Schizosaccharomyces pombe: one gene and its partners. The gene in region 2 interacts genetically with the main gene of each other region. Each region holds a gene or a part of one and is shown on either strand. Other genes may lie near its edges.

What was found.
Region 1: of mdm31 (region 2) and mdm35, a mutation in one rescues a mutant of the other (synthetic rescue), as found in Schizosaccharomyces pombe (one large-scale study listed by BioGRID).
Region 3: mutations in mdm31 (region 2) and stn1 together harm fitness more than expected from each alone (negative genetic interaction), as found in Schizosaccharomyces pombe (one large-scale study listed by BioGRID).

The regions. Positions count from the first base shown.
Region 1 is NC_003423.3:741,151-747,516, reverse strand, and holds mdm35 (protein Mdm35), read right to left. Parts: upstream 3,449-6,366; coding exon 3,410-3,448; intron 3,348-3,409; coding exon 3,177-3,347; 3' UTR 2,880-3,176; downstream 1-2,879. Other genes in the region: rti1 (DNA repair and recombination protein), read right to left, coding at 1-249, 295-373, 426-678, 737-916, 1,070-1,153, 1,252-1,482; U4/U6 x U5 tri-snRNP complex subunit Prp31, read left to right, coding at 3,998-5,554; golgin protein Rud3, read right to left, coding at 6,037-6,366.
Region 2 is NC_003424.3:1,933,602-1,941,970, reverse strand, and holds mdm31 (protein Mdm31), read left to right. Parts: upstream 1-3,822; 5' UTR 3,823-3,988; coding exon 3,989-5,635; intron 5,636-5,736; coding exon 5,737-5,895; 3' UTR 5,896-6,008; downstream 6,009-8,369. Other genes in the region: SPOM_SPAC3H1.06C (transporter), read left to right, coding at 1-954; ste24 (putative CAAX prenyl protease), read right to left, coding at 1,577-2,896, 2,967-2,981; mug151 (transcriptional regulator HCNGP-like protein), read right to left, coding at 6,174-6,614; sdd3 (metallopeptidase), read left to right, coding at 7,273-8,369. UniProt on the Schizosaccharomyces pombe protein: Involved in the organization of the mitochondrial membranes and the global structure of the mitochondria. Also required for mitochondrial distribution and mobility as well as for the maintenance of mitochondrial DNA nucleoids structures.
Region 3 is NC_003423.3:1,158,606-1,166,299, reverse strand, and holds stn1 (telomere cap complex subunit Stn1), read left to right. Parts: upstream 1-3,217; coding exon 3,218-3,326; exon of another isoform or gene 3,327-3,381; coding exon 3,382-3,480; exon of another isoform or gene 3,481-3,610; intron 3,611-3,634; coding exon 3,635-4,404; 3' UTR 4,405-4,815; downstream 4,816-7,694. Other genes in the region: rib4 (6,7-dimethyl-8-ribityllumazine synthase), read right to left, coding at 53-490, 778-819; protein mim2, read right to left, coding at 1,415-1,458, 1,808-1,982; protein meu18, read right to left, coding at 6,045-7,694.

The sequences.
Region 1 (6,366 bases), on a different chromosome or scaffold from region 2:
AACGAAGGACGTCGTATAGGCATGGATCTGTTGTGGTCTATATTAGATGATTTTAGTATAGAATTACTCTTTTTGTGCAACTGAAATGCCATTCCCTCGTGCTTTATATGTGGGTTTTCTGCTGCTGCTACACGTGCATTCATAAATTGTACTGGGGGAATCTTGACAACCTGAGCTTCGGTCATTTTATCGTGTGCGTCAATTTTGTCAACAGAAACTTTTTCATCTCCTTCAAATTGGTTTAATAATCTATTAGTTAGTCGGCATTCGCACGCATTGATCGGTCTGTCTTACTCCTCGAATTCTTCTACCCTAGGTGACTCAGGAATAGGCGGGCGCTCGTGATGCATAAGGATGCTGTCCAGTTCTTCATCTATATTTTTATGTTTAGTTTTTCAATTTGGTCATTAATAAATTTTTTATACCTGCGTAAAGGTCTGTTTCTGAATGGCTTTGAATGGGGGGATTTTGCAGAGCTGGCAGACTTTCATGAATGTCATTCTCAATGAGATCTGATATAGGTTTATCCACATTGGAAATTTTCTTCTCTATTGAATTTTTATGTTCTAGCTTAACACTTTTATTTGCATGGCTTTCTATAGGGGTAGATACTTTCTGAGCGAACCGTGCATAGGGTCTTTTGTTTGCGCGTAAAAGGTTGTCGTAGTTGAACTCAGCCTAATTTTGCATTTCTGTCAGCTTAATTATTTTTAAATTTTATGTGTTTCCATATTACCTGGGCAGGTGCCATTTTCAAGATTTTTTGAATATAGCGTTTGTCGTAAAGGCAGTTACCCATGCTACTTCCAAAGTTTCGAAGAGCTCTCTTTAATGCGTCCGTAGTTCCTTCCTTTTTACATTTTTCGTAAGCTAATGCCTTCACTCGACAATTCTCTATAGATCCATATCCAACGTCCTAGAAAAACCATTTGTTAGCAAGAAATTGGCCACAATCTGATATGGAATAGTTAAGAACGAAAAAGTTATGAATTATTTCGAAAAAAATACCATTTGCTATAATTAATTTAACCGGTATCACGAAATATTACTGAGGACATGTTTTGTTTACCTCATGAAAGGAGCCATCCTTTAATGTAACGCGTACAATAACGCTGATTCCAACATTAAACTTTTTCTCTTTCGTTTCTTCTACCTTTTAATAATGATTAGTAAAAATAAATAAATATAGGCTCAAGAATTGATACGATTTGCACTTTTTTCGTAGAATTTTGACGCAAAATTAACACTTACATAATCGACATGAATGTCTTGAATGGAAGAAGACCACCCATTAAATCCAAATATTTCATTTGCGAGCTCAATTGCTTTCCATGCTTCTAAGTATGTAACAGATCCTCCTCCTGGACCACTTCGGCGAGAAATATACTCTGGGCCAAGTTGCATAGCAAGCAGTTTTGTCATCTTATCCTGTTGCGAATCAGTAAACTCTTCACAAGACGATTGATCAGGTAGCGAGCCCATTTTGAAAATGTTTTGGGGATCTTAATTTAAAGGAATGTTAAAAGAAGAATAATGGGTTTTTTATACGCGTCTTTCGCCACGTCACATTTGTTTGTTTACGCGTCTGTAAACATTGGACCTTGACAATTGAATGAACAAAAAAAAAAAAATCTAGCAAATTTAAAATGCAAATTAATAAAAAATCTCAATTTATTTCCTTAAACAAAGGCATGATTTTATAACGCAGAAAAAAAAAGCTTTTAAACATATAAGATTTCGAGAAGATTATGTCTGTTCTATTATACACTAAAAGAACAATTGAGCTTGCTAGTCACTTTCCTTCGACCTTACATTTAAGAACGTATTTGCTTTGTGTTACCAATTTATAAATGCTTGGTACACTCCAGAAAACAAAACAAACAGTAATGTGCTCTATGGTGTGCATAAAATTACTCATGGGCTGCTAGAAAGAGATTTAATTTTTTTAGGCAATTTCTTTATTTGTAAAATGATTTGCTTTGACATGTATTTCTTTAGAGATAAGTATTTCGATTTTTAATATTTTTGTTTATATATATGTAAATACGACTCTTAGGAAAATTATATATAAAAAAACCCAAATTTTCATTAACTAAAAATAATAACAATATTTTCTATAAATAAACTGCGCTGCAGAAGCTAGCAAAAACAAACCTGGTCTTATTAATTCCATCACCCACTCGTTTTTATTGTTTGCCCTTGTGCAATTGCTAGGTTAACGACTCAAAATTTGGCGTAACGCATAATATTTTAGGTAAAAATTTGTTTTTGATTAATAATCTGCAATTAAACTCTAATATACCAATTTGCTACCTAACTATGAAAGACATGTTTTACAAAGGAAATTGACTGCACTTCAACTTTCAGCTTCTTAATACCGTATATCAATTACAATCAATAGTATGAAATTCTCAACAGAACTGATTACTACTGGACTCAGTGTACTTTTGAATACAATAGTTCCAAAACTAATAAAGAAAATACTGAACATTCATGCAAAGCTTTTCCTAAACGTAGAGGTTCGAAATTTGACTTAACAGTTACAAATTTTATTTATTTAAAAATGATAAAAATCAATTGACATTTACAGTATTTTTTTTCATTCATTCAAATTTTTATTGTTTAACTGCGACTGATGTAGTTAATATGTATATGTTATATATTTTTTAGTGACAGACTTGGACACTATGCCTGAGTGGTTAAAGGGACAGACTAGAAATCTGTTGCGGTCTCCGCGCGCAGGTTCAAATCCTGCTGGTGTCGAATTTTTGCCAAAATAATGTTTTTGCATGTCGAAGTGAAAATAGACTAATTAAGAAGGAATACCATTCAATTCTTTGATTATAAGTATATTCTTACAAGTTTTCTACAAAGGTGAGTCCAATGAAAAGATGTTCATATCATTTTACTTAGTATGATCTTAGTCAACTACCCTTTTAGAGAATTATTGGTTTGCCAGCAAAAGGATATGCCGAATCATATGTTCTTAAACAACACCTTTAGAAGTGTATACTTGCTTCATGGCAGAGATATTTCGTTACCTACAATTCTGATAAACTTACAATTGCACAGATGCTTATCACTTTTTCACCCGTTTTAAAAGAAGAGCTTTATTCCATGGTACTGCTATCTTTCAAAGCAACCTTAAAAATCATATATCCAAAGATGCTCTTACTTTAATCTTCTTTGCGTGCTGCTTCAAGAAGAGGATCTATTTTTTTCGTTTTCAAAGCCTTCAAAAGACATGATTTGTACTCGGCAAAGAGCTCATCACAGTCTCTATTATGGAGATCACCTTTTAAGAATTTATTCGCATACCAATCGTTAAAGCAGGCATCATACTTCTTCTGTTCATAATTTAGTCAGCTAAAATTCGTCCACAGTGTTTATCATATAAAGAAAACTCTACCTTAGCAGGGGTACATTCTTCACTAACAGAGGACGACATAGTTGGATTCAGTAATCTTGATACTTTTCCAAACTGTTGAATGAATGAATTTTCTCCAGATCAATTAAACCAATTTCCTTGTCAAGGAAAAAAAAAATGAACGAAAAAAATTTAACAAACTTGAAGAAATGAATCAAGCAGTTTTCGATCCCAATTCCCTATGACCGTAGTAACGTGGTTGTCTAGTATGTGTAGAGCACTAAGCAAAATACCCCATGCCAGTTCAAGTTTGACACTCCACTTGGAACTTGTCAATAAAGCGAATTTGAATCTTATTTTTACTTATTTATTTGCATTAATCTTCAAATTTGCACGATTAGTGCTATTAAGCCTATAAAAAGTTGCAGTTCTATTAAATAGCCACATACATCTATTTTGTACATTACTATCCTGGCGTTTGCTGATTACGTCCTATTTTTGAATTATTCATTAGTCTTTTTTTTAGTGAAATCTTAGACTTCCAGAACCAGCTTTGTTATTTTTTTTTCTTTTTCTGGCAACTACGCTTGACAAAAAGTTTTTCATTAGGCAAGGATTTTAACCAATATAATGTCACTGGCAGATGAATTATTAGCTGATCTTGATGATATTGAGGAAACTACAGAATCTACAATTACTGATGAACTTGGGCCAGATGCGAAGAAAAGGCGGTTAGAGTTACAATTAGAGGAAGGAAATGGCATTTCTGCTGAATTAGAAAACGATTTGGATATTACCAAAATTAGCGATTCTGCTCAAAAATTGCCTAGTGAAGTTGCTAATAAATTTAATGACAATAATGAGAACATTTATCAGCTGTTGAATTCTACACGTCTTCGCGATATCATAGAAGGAACTGAGAAATATAAAGGCACCGAAAAACAAGCTATCACTGGAAACATCGAAGATGATCTCGAATATCACCTTATCGTGGATTCTAATTCAATTGCGATGGAAATTGACGATGAAATCCTGCGGCTGCACAGACTCGTGAAGGAATGGTATCATGACCGATTTCCTGAATTAAGTAGTTTGGTCTTGAATGCCTTTGACTATTGCAAAACTGTTAGTTCTCTGTTAAATGATTTAGACAACAGCAAAACCAAACTTTCCTTTCTTCCTTCTGCTACAGTGATGGTTATTGCTACAACAGCAACGACAACAGTGGGAAAGCCTCTTCCAGATGAAATGATAAAAAACGTTAAAAATTGCTGTGAGGCAATTCAGCAATTGGGTGAAGAAAAGCAAAAAATTATTGAATATGTCCAATCAAGAATTAGTGTCGTAGCTCCTAATTTGTCTGCAGTCGTGGGTTCTACCACAGCTGCCAATTTAATCGGCATTGCAGGAGGATTGACTAGACTTGGAAAGTTTCCTGCTTGCAATTTACCAGCGCTCGGAAAAAGGAGGCTGACAACAATTGGTATTAACAATCCGGCTGTTAGTGGGGATTATGGATTTTTGTATATGTCGGAAATTGTTCAAAAGACCCCTCCTGATGTACGAAAGCAAGCTATCCGAATGACTGCTGCTAAAGTTGCTTTAGCAGCAAGAATCGATTCCATTCATGAATATCCTGATGGCTCATTTGGCATATCTGCTCGAAAGGAAGTTGAACGGAAAATTGAAAAGCTTTTGGAACCTCCATCACAGAAACCAACTGTTGCGCTACCCGTTCCTGACGATAGGCCAAAACGTCGTCGTGGAGGAAGAAGAATTCGCAAGATGAAAGAGCAATATGCCGTAACGGAATTGCGGAGATTACAGAATCGCGTCGCCTTTGGTAAGGAGGAGGCGGAAGTCTTTAATTTTGACGAAACGGAAGGTCTTGGTATGCTTGGTCAAGAAGGTGAAGGAAAAATTCGTGCAGTGTCAATTGATTCTCGAACTAAATTACGGTTACCAAAAGCGCGGAAGGCCCAACTACAATCAATGGCACAGAAGAATCCCCTTGCTGCAAGCGGTTTACAAAGTTCATTATCCTTCACACCTATTCAAGGCATTGAACTAGTGAACCCCTTACTTCAACGACAACAAAAAGTAGAAGAGGCCAACAAATGGTTTCGTGATGGTGTTTTTACACAGATAAAGAAGGATTCTAATGAGCCGAAAAATAAATTTTCATAATAATGTCTTCATAATGATTAGTTACTTTGCATATAGCTATGTTGCTTTTGCATACTAGTAATACAGACCATAACTATGACCTGAGTGATTAAAATAAAATGATATTTTTAAAATTCTTCGAAAAAACTGATATTAACAAACAATTTTGAAAATTAAGAATATTGACTAATAGATGAAATTGCAACAAGCGCTTTTGCCATAAAGCTAGGCATAGCAGGAGAAGGCAAAATATCAAAATGAACGTATGAAACTATTACTTCAAGAATGATATAGTCAACCTTCAAAATGTGTGAAAAGAGAGTAAAAAAATACTAAAACCTTGTACGCGCGGCAAAAGGTAACCCCTAATTAAGTTGTGAAGTAAGAAAAAAAAAAGCGATACATAAAAAGAGCGAAAGATATTATTATTTACAGAAAAAAGAAAAATCTTTCATACCATTGCTCAATTGAAACGTAAAATTATCGGTTAGTGTGGAAGAAAATTATGAGTCATGGAAAGAACGTCTTTTGGAAAAGGAATGATCGGAGAATAGAGAGTTAGAGGACGCACTGTGAGGAATACTCCAATTATTTACAGAGGAACCAGGACGTTGAAGTCCCGTTTGTTCCCTTTGCGTATCGTTCCAATCTAACACGGAAGAAATTAATTGCAATATTTCGAAACGTTTAGTGTCAGCGCGAGGAAGCGTCAAAAAGGAGACAAACAAATTAGAAATAAGTTGTTTGTCAATTTTTTCTGCATTATTTCCATCTTTAAGCATGCAGAGAGCCTTTGTAAGATGTTCATTCAAAACAACGGCCTCGTGCTGCAG
Region 2 (8,369 bases):
GTTTCGTTTCGCGTGTTTTTACGTGATTTTGACTTTGTGGGCATTATTACCATTACGACTGGTGTTGTGTTGTTTTTAGTTGGTTTGAATATTGGATCTACAACAGGTCATTGGGCCCATGCCAATGTCTTGTGCTATTTAATTTTTGGTATCCTGTGCATTGCCGGTTTTGTTGTCAATGAATTCTATACTACCCGTACTAGAATTATTACTCCCTCGGCATTTAAAACGCTCTCTTTAACATCTGTAATGGTAACATCCTTTTTACATTATTATATTGTCTCAACAATTACTTACTACATCCCAGTATACTTCCAAAACATTAAAGGTGACGGGCCCTTGATGTCTGGCGTTCACACATTATCTCTAGCGGTTGTATCCTCACTTCTTTCTGCTGTTAGTGGTATGGGAATAGGAAAGTTGAAAAATTATCGATATCCAATGATTGGAGGATGGATAGTTTTATTAGCTGGTACCGGTAGTATGATTGCGATATATTATAACACGGACATATCACGTACCATGGGATTCTTGGCTTTGACAGCAGTCGGAACTGGAAATCTATTTCAACCAAATCTCATTGCTGTTCAAGCTTCTGTACCTCCTGCTTTGATAGCGACTTCCTGTTCTGCATTTATGCTGCTAAGAAATATGGGTGCATCTGTGGGAATATCGATGGGAGCGGTAATCTATGATCAGCAACTAACGACACTTTTAAAAGGAACGAAGTATTCTGCAGGGCTATCATACTCTCAAATTGCTTCAATTCCCAACGTAAGCGAAAAGAACTTTGTATTCAATGCCTATGCTAATGCCATTCGTATGATTTGGATTGTAAATTGTCCAGTTGCAGGAGTAGGAATGCTTTTGTCGTTTTTTACAAAGCAAGAGAAGTTATCTCAAAGCGTCACGGAGTACAAAGAAAAGGATAAGGGATTCAAAGATGCTCCTTAAAAACCGTTCTTTTTTTTTAAACCTTTGTGGAAAAATCACTAGACAACCGGTTATCAATTTTTACTTTTTGCTATATTGAAATTATAGCACTGTTGTTTATCTGCTTGAAATTTTCTCCACCTACGTTTAATGATGAAGACGCTTTGCTATTCGACTTCCAATGTTTAATGTTTGCAAGTTTAATTGTAAGCAAGCATAATTTTGATTTGTCCTCCTGATATATCTTTCTATGAATAGTGGATTTTTAGGCAAGTCTTAAATTAGTTAATTGATTAATATGCTCATACGTTCCCTTCGCTTTTGATATTTCGCATTTGCTGGTGCTGTCCACCATACTCAAATTTTATGAACCAATTTTGTATGTGCTGTTACGAGTTATTGCATATCGTCTTTTTTTGTTTTGATGTTTCTTTTTTTTTATTGATTTTTTTCCCCCTGACTTTATTTTCGTTAAGGAATGTTGCAATTTCTCAAATTTAGTTTAGTATACGTTCATATTGAATCGTTGCTACTCATTGTTACTAGTAATATCATTTTTCTATACAGATATGTAAGCATAATATATTTTAACAATTTTAAGGCAAATTCGTGCATTTGACATAATTTCATTCACTCATGAAACCTAATTGTTCTTTTTTAGCGTCGTGTAATCAATTGCATTCAAACGATCAACCAAGATGGGATGACTATGGTAATACGAGGTATATAAAGAATCAAACTCCAAAGGAGAAAGATTGTCATCATGAATGCGTATTAAACCATCACCCAAATCCTTTGCGTACCCTAATTGTTTAGCAAAAGCATCCGCTTGATACTCACAAAGGCGAGAAACTTTGTTGGAGGCAAACGTAAGGATGGAGGATAAAGGACCTAATGCGTCCGAAAAAAGGAGAAGTCCAACAATTACAGGTTTTTCGGTAATGAAATTGAAGGAAGTGTATAAGCTATTATTTCGAATAAAAGCAGCAAATAAGAAGAGGTGGAACAGACTCATTCCGTAGTCTATAATAGTATTAATTAAATTATGAGACATGTACCAATGACCAAGTTCGTGACCAAGAATTGCAATAAGTTCCGGTTCCGTATGATTTTTCACAAGAGTATCAAAAAGTACAATTCCTTTGTTCCATGGAAGCCCATAAAAGAAAGCGTTGGAGTGAGTTGATCTACGACTAGCATCAATCACATAAAGCTTCTTCAAGGGAAAATTGATACTGGCAGCTAACTCTTCAATTTGTGTTCTAAGACTTCCATTTTCAAGCGGTGTAAACTTGTAAAACAAGGGCATAATTAGAGAAGGAGCAATAGTTTGTAAAATGAGGCCAAAAACAATATAGGCACCCCATGCATACATAATAAAATTATCACCAAACTTGGTCAAAATTTTAACGAAAACACCAACGACAACACTCATAAGTAAACCACCAAGGCTTAATTCCTTTAAAAGATCAATTACGAAGATCTTTAAAGTCGATTTATTAAAACCATACTTTTCCTCGATCACAAAGGTTGAGTAAAGATTGAAAGGAATTTGAATTAAACGAGAAAACAGAGTAAGTCCAAACATGAAAACACAGGAATGCGTAATCGAAGTCGATAGACTAAACCTTGAGGATGAAGCAGCTAATTTATCCATCCAAGGAAACTTAGTGATATTCCAAAGGTATGAAAGTCCATCATATTTAATAATCAAAAGATCAACGGCTAAAGTAAATGTGGAAACAATAGTAGAAAACCAACTTTTATCACGAGCATAAGACAATGCTTTTTGGTACTTTTTTTCATCAACGTGTTCAGCTAAAATAGCAGGAGGCTTTTCTCTCAACAAATATGGCACTTGCCTGCGACGAAGATACAAATCCCAGGCATACTTTCCAATAGAAAATCCAGCAATTACTATTTTCCAAGGGAAGCCTGGAATGTCTAAAATGTGCATCAAATGCTATAAAAACGTTAATACAAAGTTTTAAACCCCAAATATATTCATAAAAAATCAACTAATCGTTATATACCTGTAGAATTCCCATTTTACAACAATTGGCAAAACTTCTTGTAGTAGGCTTTGGTGTAGCTTGTATGACTGAAATTTCTTTTAGGAAGCAAAGGCCAGGTGACATAAATAGAGTTCAACTATCGAAGAAAAAACAAAAAGAAGTAATCAAATAGCTTTTTGCGAGAAACATATTGTAACATTCATGTTGCACGCATGCTACCTTGGTGTGCATAAGACCTAGACATTTAATACATAATTTGCGTCCATTAATTCAGTTAAAAATGGATTGTGATTCTGTAAATATTTTTAACAGGCATAACGCATATATCATAGATAACGAAAATGAAATCTCAACTTTTCTTTGTCTATTTAGCCGTTGCATCAACAACATTAAAATTGCCAGATGAAATTAACGAAAATAAAGAATTGGAATATGTAAGTAAAGATAAAATTAATTTTATCTTGAAAAGAACTCGGTGAAGTTATATTCAGAAGCTAAATACTACTATAACAGTATGCTTTTTGGCGGCTTCTTAATGCCTTGGACATGAATTGGAATTCTATTCAAACTAAGCGCAATAGTCTTAATAACTCAACCAGCATAATTAAATTTTAGTAGTTAATGCAGGCAGTTAGTATAAAATGTGTATACAGTTGTTGCTTTATAGTCAGCTAGTTAGCTAATTGTTATAATTAAGCAAAGTATGTAATAATTCGATGTCATCTCATTCGTACAAAACATCTGATTTATAAAGTGTATACTCAGAAGCATATATAATAATTTGGAATGGATCATCGTTATTTTCTATATATTTTGCCATCTTAGCTAAAGATTTTAGTGTAAACTTTGCTAGTTATTCTCCTATTTTCTTTCTGCAGACAACCATATACAGGAAAGGCATTGAAACTTTTATAATATATCATTACAGGCAGTTTATTTCTTTAAAACAGAAGCATATATAGAATAATTTGTCTTGACTGTAATTATATACACTAATTGTGCTTTTCGAGAAGGTATTATTTATTTGACCTCATAAGTTGATGCTCGAATCACGACTTGCGAAGAATATAGCAAGGATTGTTCAGGCCCGTAAGCCCTATTTAATTTCTTATCATGTTCGTGCTTCTACTCAAAATGCCTTACTCAAGCAAACCGTTTTGCAATCTAGCAGCTTCAAGAGTTTTCCTACTCTTCCTAGACTAGCAGCTAGGAATATTTCAAACAGTGGGATATTGTCCCGTACTACACCTGTAATTATTAAGCAAATATCTATGGTTAGAAGTTACTCGTCTGGAGATGTTGAAAACCCTGAGATTCTCAACAAAAATGAATCAAATCAATCTTCCGGCGTTAAAAGGGCAATGCCATTTCGCGTATTAAAAAAAATGAAAAGCTTTCTTTTTAAGCAAAACAAACCCTTAACAGTGGATAATGTTACTGCCTTTTTCAGTTGGTGGCTTGTGAGCCATATAGTTTGGATCGTAGTTGGTACAACAACTTTTTTTTCATTGTTATTGTACACCTTAAACACTGTTTCTGCACAGGAACTATTAGGAAGATGGATTGGTCAGTTAATGACAAAAAATACAGGGTTCCAATTCGTCTTTGAAAGCGCAATTGTTCCCAATTGGAGGAAAGGATTAATCACATTCAACAAAATTTCCGTAATTAGAAGACCTGATACTTTGAATGGCATTGGAGCACAAAATCCGAATAATAAGTCTGATTATGAAAAAGAGTACATGGCTTTACGAAAACGTTATGATTCTAATGAGGAACCTGACACTGAGGCTCTGAGTCAGGGAAACTATACTCAATTTGAGTTATCCATTGATAAGGCAGATGTTTCGTTTAGCTTTGCTAGGTTTTTAAATGGTAAAGGGATTGTTAAGGAACTTCAGCTGAAAGGTGTTAGAGGTGTAGTTGATAGACGGTTTATTGAATGGGATCCATCCTCCGATCCTCGTGATTACCGTCGTAAACACAACTGGGGGGATTTTGAAATCGAAAAATTTAAGCTAGAGGATTTGCGTGTTACTTTATTACAACCTAAAGGTTTTCGGAAGTTCCCCGTTAGTGTTTTCTTTTGTGAGCTTCCTAGGCTTAGAAAACAATGGTTATTTTATGATTTAATGAATGCTAAGACTCTCACCGGAAGCTTTGATAATAGTATGTTTACTATTCATCGATTACAACTTCGTCCATATTCACCGTACCTAAAAGTCGGTAAACAACTCGATGATATGCGACATAGTCGCTTGCGTATTGATAATGTCGCAATCGATCATCTAAATCGAGGTGTTTCGGGAGCATTTGGATGGATTAATGATGGCAGTGTTGATTTTTTAGTTAATATTTCTTTTCCATCAGAACCTTCGGAAAATTCTTTCCAAAAAGCGTGGATAAGTTTGATGGACAAATTGAAAAAGAAAGAAAAAGATGAGGATGTTTACAAAGACGTTCACTTTGATGTTAATGTGCAATTACATAATCCCAAAGCCGTAATTCCTATTTTTACAAATCAAGTAAGCTATATCAACAATGCTTTAATTCGACCTATTATTGCTTACATTAATTCCACACGGACATTCATCCCTATTCTTTGTCATGTATCAAAACCGCTTTCTGACTTTGATGGAAGCTGGACTTTTTACGACAGTGGTGTTTTACAAGAAATTTCGGCGCAGGTAAGTTCTACCCTGTTCCTTACTATAAAAGAGCGTCTTTTCCTAAAATTTAAGAGTAATTTACGCTTTTGAATATTAATAAATACTAATTTTTGATGTAGGTGTATGAATCGTTTGCTCGAGATGTATTAAATCAAGAGATACGAAGAAAACGAATTCAGAAAGTTGGCTACTGGAGTCTTCGGAGGTTTTTGCATTTAGTTTTGGTTTCTTTGCAGGAATTGGCTCCGACAACTTCTTCAATCAGTAATTTCGAATAGTTAAAAGTGATGCTATTTATTATTTACGGTTCTGATTCTCTTCATGAAAGGCTTTTTTGTTCTATCGGTAGTTAAAATTATTATAATAACAATTATTATTTTTGAAAATTGACTAGGGTAAACTAATGACTTAAGCTACTAGCCATATAAATGTCTTATCAAAATTGGCATTTCTGGATCATTTATTCATAACAGGCTAAGGTATTAAATTAAGTAGTCTTATATATATTCGGTAACGAAATTATTTTTACAAACACATTATCTTTTGATACTCAAATTTATTTAGGATGTTGAGAGGTTTGAAATTTAATTTCAGTTCTATCATGCTTTTGGTAATTTTCACGCCTGGCAATCATTTCATCCTGTGATTTAGAGAGTGCGGATGCATAGACGTTTTTATGAAAGTCCGTTGGATCCCACATATCCTTAGATATCATAGTTCCTCTTGGCTCCTTAATATCCAGAAAATCCTGCAAATTATCAAGTAACTTTGGGTTTCTGAAATTTTCATTTTCTGATAGTCTCGTATGAAAATGAATGCCCTTTGCCTTTAATTTTATAAATTGCTTTATCTTTTTCTCCAGCTCTGTGTCAACTTCAGCTTTAGGAGAATTTGGGATTTTCCAATGGGGTTCCTCAGAACGTCCTTTAATATCATTGTTTTCATTTACTAACGAAGTTTGTTCCTCTTCCTCTGAGTCGTAGGCTACCAAAGACATAACTCTTAAAACTCAAAGCATTTAAAGTAGATAGATAGTGTACGGTAGAAGCAAATTAAGTATTGTGCAACCATAGTGGTTGCAAAATATATAGGTTTGCTATTATCATCCAAAAGATGCAGACTTTTTAATTTCCTTAATTAAAACCTAGGAAAGGTAATTTATAAATGCATCTACTGGTTGTTTGTTAACAAGTGTAAAAACCTATAGTTGGACTAGGAGTACATTGCTCGTTCATTTTGAGGTACAAATCACTTTTTAATTACCATATGATAAATCCGTTTTTTACAACTAGTATGTTTGCATTAATAACACAAAACTATCTTTGAACATATCTCAAACCTATTCATTAATAGCGAACGTTTATTCTATTAAGGAGGTGTTTGCAAACCAAACTGAACAGTAACGACGTTACCTCGTCTATACAGTTTATGCATACTAAAGTATGAAATTTCTTGACCATTTTCTTACTACTACTTAGTTGTTACGCTGTTATAGAGGTAATTCTAAATTTCTTTAATAGAGAATCCTTAAACATCGTATTTGTATTCTCTTGTTAAGGATTTTTTATTAAAGTCAACAGCACTCTCGTTGGGAAACGGGACATTGTATTGCTCATTTTGCTCGATTTTGCTGTTTTGGATAACTTTATTAAAGTATGCTTTCTGATGACACATCATTTCGCCAAATCTCAAGTGAGCGTATATTGAATTACACGGTCAACAAATGGATAAACGATGCAACTGGGTTCAGCGTCGCTTCAGTAAAAACTCCAACATCCAGATTACAAGGATCATTTGTAGTAGCAACTGAAGCTCACGATAATCTTGGCTGTCCTCATACCCTTGAACATCTGTGTTTCATGGGCAGTAAAAAGTATCCCATGAATGGCATTCTTACAAAATTTGCTGGCAGGGCATGTGGTGATATCAATGCTTGTACCGATGTTGATTATACTTCATATGAGCTTTCTGCTGCTGAGGAAGATGGATTTCTTCGTCTGTTGCCTGTATTTGCAGATCACATTTTGTCTCCAATTCTAAGCGATGAAGCGTTTTGCACAGAAGTTTATCATATAAATGGTATGGGAGAAGAGTCCGGTGTTGTTTATTCTGAAATGCAGAATACTCAAAGCTCAGAGACGGATGTTATGTTTGATTGTATGAGAACTAGTCAATATCCAGTTACCAGTGGTTACTATTATGAGACTGGTGGTCATCCCAGCGAACTTCGCAAGTTGTCTATCGAGAAAATTAGAGAATATCATAAGGAAATGTATGTTCCAAGCAATATTTGTTTAATTGTGACCGGGTGCATTAACGAATCAAGGCTTCTAAGCTGTGCCTCTGGTATCGTAAAGGAAATTTTAGCTAATGGTATTATCACTCCACCTACGTGGACGCGTCCATGGTGTTCAACTAATGTGGATTACACTATTCCTGAGCCAATTTTGAAAACTGTTAAATTTTCTTCCGAAGACGAATATACTGGATCTGTTTCTTTAGCTTGGAATGGACCCTCGGCCTTAGATGCATACACTGTTTTTGCTATTGAAACACTTTGTGAATTCCTGAGTGAATCTGCCGTCTCCCCATTTGGGCAGACCTTTGTTGAAATTGAAGACCCGTTTTGCTCATTTGTTTATTTTTATGTCTCACTCCGTGTCCCTTGTTCTATTCAGTTGTTTTTTGACAGCGTTCCTTTAGAAAAAATTAATGGCTTAGAACAACGTGCTTTACGTCTTTTGGCCGAAAC
Region 3 (7,694 bases), on a different chromosome or scaffold from region 2:
CAGTCAGTAGCATATTTTATTAACAAAAAAATGAGCAAAGGATTCAACTTAATTAATACAAAGCTTTCAATCCCATCTCTACAGCAGCTGATCCCCAATCATTTCCATGGTTATGGCCACCATTCAAACCTGCACGATAAAGAGCTTGCTCTTCATTTAAAACTGTTAATAGACCTAGAATGACGGGAACACCTGAATCAAGGCCAACGCGCATAAGACCATGAACAACAGCTTCTGAAATATATTCAAAATGCATGGTGGAACCTTTGATTAAAACGCCAATGCCAATAACAGCATCATATGTATTGCGGGCGATGGAAGCACGAATACCTTGAGGAAGTTCCCAACTTCCCGGAACACTTTCAATGTCAATATTCTCCAACTTCACATCATGTTTTTCTATCATGGTCTCAACGGCACCCTTAACAAGAGGCTCAATGGCTTGAAGATTCCAGCGGGCATGGACAATAAGAATGCGCAATTCTGGTCCCTATAAAAAAAATTGATTAGAACTTTTGAATTAACTATTTTCACGAAAAAACTGCGTGAGAAAGAGGAGAAATTTAAAAAAAAAAAGACCAAGCGCTTTTGTAAATAGAACACTTAAGCAATAATTATATCGTGTAGAAAATAAAATAAAATTCGGTATTCAGAAGAAAAGGTTCAACTAAAAAAAAAAAACATATCGAACTTCTTTTCATGGATATAAGTGAAAACAAGCAGCGCTAAATAGGAAACGCAAAGAAAACACCGCAAGTTCATATTTTTGATTCATACCTTTAAGTCTGAAGGGTTAGGGCCTTTAATACCACTGAACATGATTATTTACTTGATTAAATAGTTGTGAAGACTATACAGAAAAATGCAGCAAGTTTGGTGTGCGTGTGCTTTATAAGCTGCAGCAAGAACTGATTTACAGAATCAACAGATCTAATACTTAAGGTTCTAGAAATGTTGATTTCTAATTAATTTTTTAATTTTAGTCATGAAATTACTATCTGATGAGGCAGGTATAATACTGGAACATAGATTACTAATAGTCACCCCATTAACGTCGTTTATTAATATGTCGAGGCTGTCGTAGATGCAAATGTCTCATTTTTACTAAACAGTTTGTTCATTTGAACAAAAAGAAAGGAAAAAATAATGAATAGTATCAATAAGCAAAACGATGAATACACACATTTCCAATTTTTTTTGAAGTTCGGATTCAAAAACCGTTACAATTTAATAAATGTCGAGTACATTGATTTATACAGTAATCAAATATTCATTAATTCTTATTCAGATCATAAAGAGAATTTCATCCGAGAACGAATGGCACACTATGGGTTTCATCACACAATATCATAATAGAAACAGAAACAATAAGTATTAAACCAGCGAATGTAAGAAGATTCAGAAATAAATCTTTTTAATTACTAACCAAGCGCCTCCGTTCTAACCAGCGAGCCCATGCTAAATCCAAGGGTTAGTATACAATAAATGTACAGAAGTTTAAGGATGTAGAAAAGGTTAAGAATGAAAGACTAATAGAACAGTAATGGAAACAAAAATGTTTAAAAAATAACGAAAGATGTAAATGTAGACCAACAAGCAGACCATTTAAAAACAGTTTATAGGAAGAAAAAGCTATAATTCAAGCTGATGGAATAAGAAAATCAGTTGTGCTCAATCTTTCTCCAAAAACGGATTTTTTTGCTCTATTATTCAATTATTTGCAAAACTTATTTCCTCTTTGAGAAACTAAAAGCAAATAAAAAAAATCCACCATCTATTCCTATTCCTTTAATTTATACTAACTTACCATGAAATGCGAATTTACGACCAAGAAACTTTCCTAACAACGGGAACACCACCAAACATAAAACTCGTTCCAATTGTTCAATGGAATCCTTTAAATCATCATCCAATTCACTAGAATAGGTATCATCTTCTCCATCTGAAATTGGGTCAATTTCAAGATCTAAAACTTCGGCCATGTTGTTTTCACTAAACTGACTTTAGAATAGTTCGATTGAACTAGCAACGTTGTATTTAGAATTTAATTAAAAAATTTTTCTATTGTCAGCAATCGAAACCCCTTTAACGTATGCTTAAAAGTGTATTATTACCAAGTATGGCTCTGGTGAAGGTCACATAGTGGCTGTTACATTTATACATAGGACATTTGTCGAAACAACATTGATCATGTGAGACTAAATTTTGAAAACAGGGAGTATATTCAGCAAAAATAATTCATATTCACTGATGATAAGAGGTTATTTGTTTCTATATGCTTTACCTATGAGTTTGGGTACATTGTTTGTATTCTTGGTATTGCTAGTTTATTCAATTTCAGATGAAAGCTGAGCAGAACAGCCGCTGTCATGCTATTCGCGGATACCCTTTGTTTCACAACAAATATTTCGACCTAAGAAAAGCCTTTATTTTTGCCATCCTTACCTCTAAGTGCTTTGTTTGGTAACACTTTATTGAAGAATTGATAGACCGTTATAAACATAAAACAAAAAAAAGTTGGGAGTTTTGGTTTTTTTTAGTTACTCTTTTAAAGAATGCATTTTTCCACGAGGTTTCTTGATCGAACACAGTAGGAGCAATATAATTTATCTTCAAAACAGTTGAATGTGAAACATCAATAACTGAAGAAGTTTGGTTTTCATACCTCCTTGCGTATTCCCTATTCATAAATAAATCATATAATTTAGAATTATCCGGTATATGAAGATAGGAATTTGTGTGCTAGAATTTAGCAAGATATAAACAATGCACATTGGTGTGACATTTACAAAATTGGTTGACGAATTCTGTACTCTCACTTTTTGTCAGTAGACGTCTTTTTTAGGATCTTCTCTCAAATTCAATTATAACTAAGTTGCGTGAAACCAGACTAAATTCAATTGATAAAGTTGTTTAGTCAATTAGCATTTTTTATAACAGCATCAATGCATGTCCTAATAAAGAGTTAAGATATTTTTTTTCCTTTTAATCTTACTGTAGAAACTTAAATAGTTATTATCCTCGTAGAATTGCTCTATCCTTATTACGCGCACTCAGGAAGATGAAGACTTCACAAACACCAAATCATTGCTTAATTTTCGAAAACGCTGCGATTGTTGTTGATAGTTGACCAGAAGCATACTAATTTTTATTTACTTATATACTTGAAAAATTGCAAATCATATGGTTGAAAGTCTTTAAGGGAATGACCTAATAAATGCTAGAAAATGAAAATCAACTAACGCATCAATTTCCTACATTATCAAGATGGAACCCCATGTTTATTAGCGATGTTCATAAAATTTCATTTCATCCACATTTACAGCGTAAGTGCTCTTTCTGTAAAATAAATATCACAAAGTGATTCTTACAAATATCTAGGATACATTGGCTTCTGGATGGGATTTCCCATAAGATGGATTCAAATTGTTGGCTATATTGCGGCAATTGATATTTATGAAGGAAAGCATGTTTTAACAGGTAACGAATATCAGCATTGAGGCAATAAGCAGTTCCACTACTGCATACACGACTCATTTAGTTGTTGAATCTAGTTAAGGTTTTTTATAAAATCAACTTTTGAGAAGCATCTGCCTCTATAGCTCCCTTTTTTCTATTTCCTAACTGAATTTAGTGGATGATTGTAGCGGGATGGTATTGCGTGTCGTGTTTATTATTCAAGATGATTTTTCAATGTCAAAAAGAGCAATATCTATGTCTCCTGGAAATGTTGTCTGTGTCTTTGGAAAGATAAATTCTTTCCGATCTGAGGTTGAATTAATTGCTCAGTCGTTTGAAGAACTTCGTGATCCAAATGATGAATGGAAGGCATGGCAGAAAAGGATGAGATACAAAAAAAATTTAACCAAAATCTCTAAAAATCACCATTCAATCATTCGCACACCCAAGAAATCCTATTTTCCTAAAGATCATGCGAAGGAGTTACTTAAGTGCATAAGGCAGATGTGTAAATTAAATGTGCAAGCTGGATTTACAATTGAAGAACTCATTATTTATTTAAAAGCAAAAGAGTTGCACCTCCCACTTGTTCATATATTCAACGTCGAAAATGAAATAGTAGAGAACTGTGATGGAAATCACATACTGGCGCTTAATTTCTCTTTGCAAACATTACTACAACATGGGCGGATTGTGAGAAAGTCAAATTCAGTTTATATGCTTGTCACTTCAAAAGACATAATACGCTTTGTGATTCCTCTGATGGCAAGTGGTCTTCTCGAAGCCCACAAGGTTCAAAGCATAGTGAGAGATTCCAACCCAATGTTTATCACACTCCCTCTTTCTGCGATTGCTAAACACATTTGTCAATTTTTGCTTCGTACAAAAGGGAAATGGAGGCAAGCAAAGAAATATACCTGGGTGCGAGATAATCAGTTTGTATAAAATGAATTTCCAGTTTCCTTTAATATCACATTGACGCGGAGATTTAATTGCCTAAAACTAAGTTCATTGTTCTATATGCAATATTACAATCCTCTATTAATTTAAGAATATGTTTACGGAAACAGATCAATAAGTACACATGGGTATATAAGCGGTTAATCTGATGATGAAATAGATTTACATGTATAAAGCTTTCTTTTTTACTTTTGAATTGATCAGTAGCATCATTGCATCAAATTTAATTAATGGTCAGCACCAATTCATCAGCTGCTTATACAATCTAGGGTAAAGAAATATAACTAAGCATGATAATAAGTTACTCTTAATTTCCTGAAGTTCAAACTTGAAATGCTTTGCATCGCTTACTGGCCTAAGCATCGTACTTCGATTATTATAGTTGGAAGTCATGAGGATAAAACTATGTCTTTTCTGATCATGTCGTAAAATCTAGCTGCTCTTCATACTGAAATTGGAATATTAGATAAGATTTAACTACTAAAAAAAAAGATTAAGGCATCCGATTGCCAATTGTATAGATTGCAATGATGCTCCTTACTGCTTTGAAGTTGAGTAAAAACGAGATAAGCCCATAAACTTATGCAATTTATTTTAGTTGTTTTTAACTACTAAATTGACACTTCATATTGGTGGTTGTTATTTTTTTTTAGGTATCGAAGAATTGCTTATGGTCGTAGAGTTATGTCAATCTATTAATTGATCCAGTATTCTCGCACTGGGAGATCACACATCGAATAAAATTTATTTCGTTTCAATAAGCAACAATAAATATAATAATTGGTTTCTTTAAGCTCGTATTATGCCGCAAAATCTATATTTCAAAATTTAATCCTCATAATAAGCTACGCATAAATTATACTAAATTTTAACCAGGCAAAGGTTGTTACGCGTGGCGCAATGGTAGCGCATCTCATTCCTATACGACCTGATCGTTGTTGGGGAGTGAATTACGAGAAGGTTGCGGGTTCGAGTCCCGTCGTGTAAGATTGTTTTTATGAAGGAAGCTTCATTATAACCTCCTTAAAAAATTTAAATTTCAATATCATACTACACACAATGATATTGTGGTATTTTGTTTTGCTCATGAAATATTACCAAAATTTATATTATCTTAACTGATTAATATGTTTGGTATTATTGTATGAAAAATACTACTCTAGCTCCTTCATGCTAAGGGGCCTTTTGAATTGCAGAATATCTTTCCAGTTCGAGTAATTCATATGAAGATTTGATTTTTAAGAGGTTATTGGGAATACGTTTACTTTCATTCAATCGCGACTTTATTTCTAAGTGTGCTATTCATTAACTCAATAAAAATTTCGCAACCTGTGTTTTTTCTTCATATTTTGTATGTTGGTTCTCTCTGGGCTACCCTGTTGTATATTTGAAAAATAAACTGTTTACTGTACACATTACTCCTTGTTATACATTAGGATGTTTTTCTTTGTGTAAATTATTTTGTTGCTGTATCCGATGTACTAACAGTTTGGTATTATTACTATCGAATAATGTTTTAAAAACAAAATCATTTCATTAATTATTATTTACATTGTGATGTACATGCATTGGCAGACCAGCTTGGCATATTTTAACGAAACCTCCAGTCGTTTAGTCAATTGAATCTATACCAACAAATTGGTCTCCAATTGACAAGTAGGAAGTTCGTAAATTTGATTTTCTTCATCATTTCGGACGGAGATTATGTCTGACCATTCTGTGATATTGTTTTCTTCTTCCTCGGCTTGAAGCTCCGATATAAAATTCTCAATTAGATTTTTCCAAGGTTGTGTATTTAGTGTCTTTTCTGCTTCACCTTCTCTATTCGTCAAATTTGTTGAGTCTTCTGTTTCGCATTTGGCGTCATCGAGAAATTTTATGGCAATGTCCCTAATAGCAGTACTCGTAGTTCGTTGCTTTCTAATGTTCTCCTTTAAGTTCTTTTTCCTTGTTTTTTGCGACTCTCGAGATGTGCAGGCTTCACCCATTTCTAGCAGATGAATCATCTCTTCTTGAAAAAATTGTGAAAGTTTTTCCTGTACTTGGTAACTTGTTTCCTTTTTAGGACTTTTGGGATCTTCTTCGTTTATGCTAACATACTTTTCAATGCTTATGGCTTCCGGGGCAGCAAAAGCGTCATCATAATTCGTGCCATTTTGATCTAATCCAGAATCGTAGAGAACGGATGGACCCTCATTTTCGCGCAATTCATGAATAAACTCATTCTTGTCATAACCAATTTCTTTGTATAGTTCCCTAATTTTTGAAGTCCTTTTAGTCTTGGAGTAAAGCTCTGAAACATCATTTTCTCTGTGCCTTTCCTTTGCGAAATTGCCAAAGTCAACATTGGGAGCAGTTCTTGAGCTAAGATATTTATGGGAAGCTTTTTTAGACTTCCTCTTTTTGCTAATAGGTTTCTGGGTATTATCTTCATTTTTTAAACGTGCGATTCTATGTTTGGAGTCATTGGAACATAATGTCTCATTGCTTTCTTTTGTGGTGGTCATTTCGAGACTTTTAAGGCTATATTCTTTAGTGCCTTTCTTTATTTCTTGTAAATTTGATGCGATGTCTAGTTGAATAAATCCAGGCTGAAAGGTTTGCAGTACGCCATCCTCGCAAAATGTTTTGAAGAGTTGAGCGCATAAAAACGTTTTTTCTATCGCTTTATCGGATTTTTCGCATATTGTTTTTCTAATGAGTTCTTGCATATTCGTTTCATAAAACCTATAACGATTTGGATTTGATGTAAAATTTACTATTTCTGCGTCCGGTGTGCATGTCAATTTGATGCAACGGATTTTTCCATTTTTCCAAAAAATTCTTAGGTTGTTTCCAATAGTAGTTAGATTGCTGCTGAATGATGGAAGGTTTTCAACAGCATTCTTAATCTCGAAATGGCGTGAATTAAAATACTTGGTCGTACCTTTGCATTTTGTGGTTATTTTATCTTTTATACGATGGGATTTTAGCCTATAATCATAGTGTTTATCGTTGGCTGTAACTTTGTATTCATCTGCAAATAAATCCAACGCATAATGAAAACAGTAAAGCAGCTTTCTAATTAGCGTCTTTATTAACTTGAGCAGACTGTAAACTGTTTTGAAAGAGAATAGCACACAGAATTTTAGAGAATTCATCGAAAACTTAGAACACATAAAGAAAAAACTAAGTATTTCTTGGCTATATAAAATCAAGAACATAATTAGAAGACAAACATGAAAGCTTGGTATAAGTGGCCGGATATTCTTTATATTATATAATTCATAAAAGTT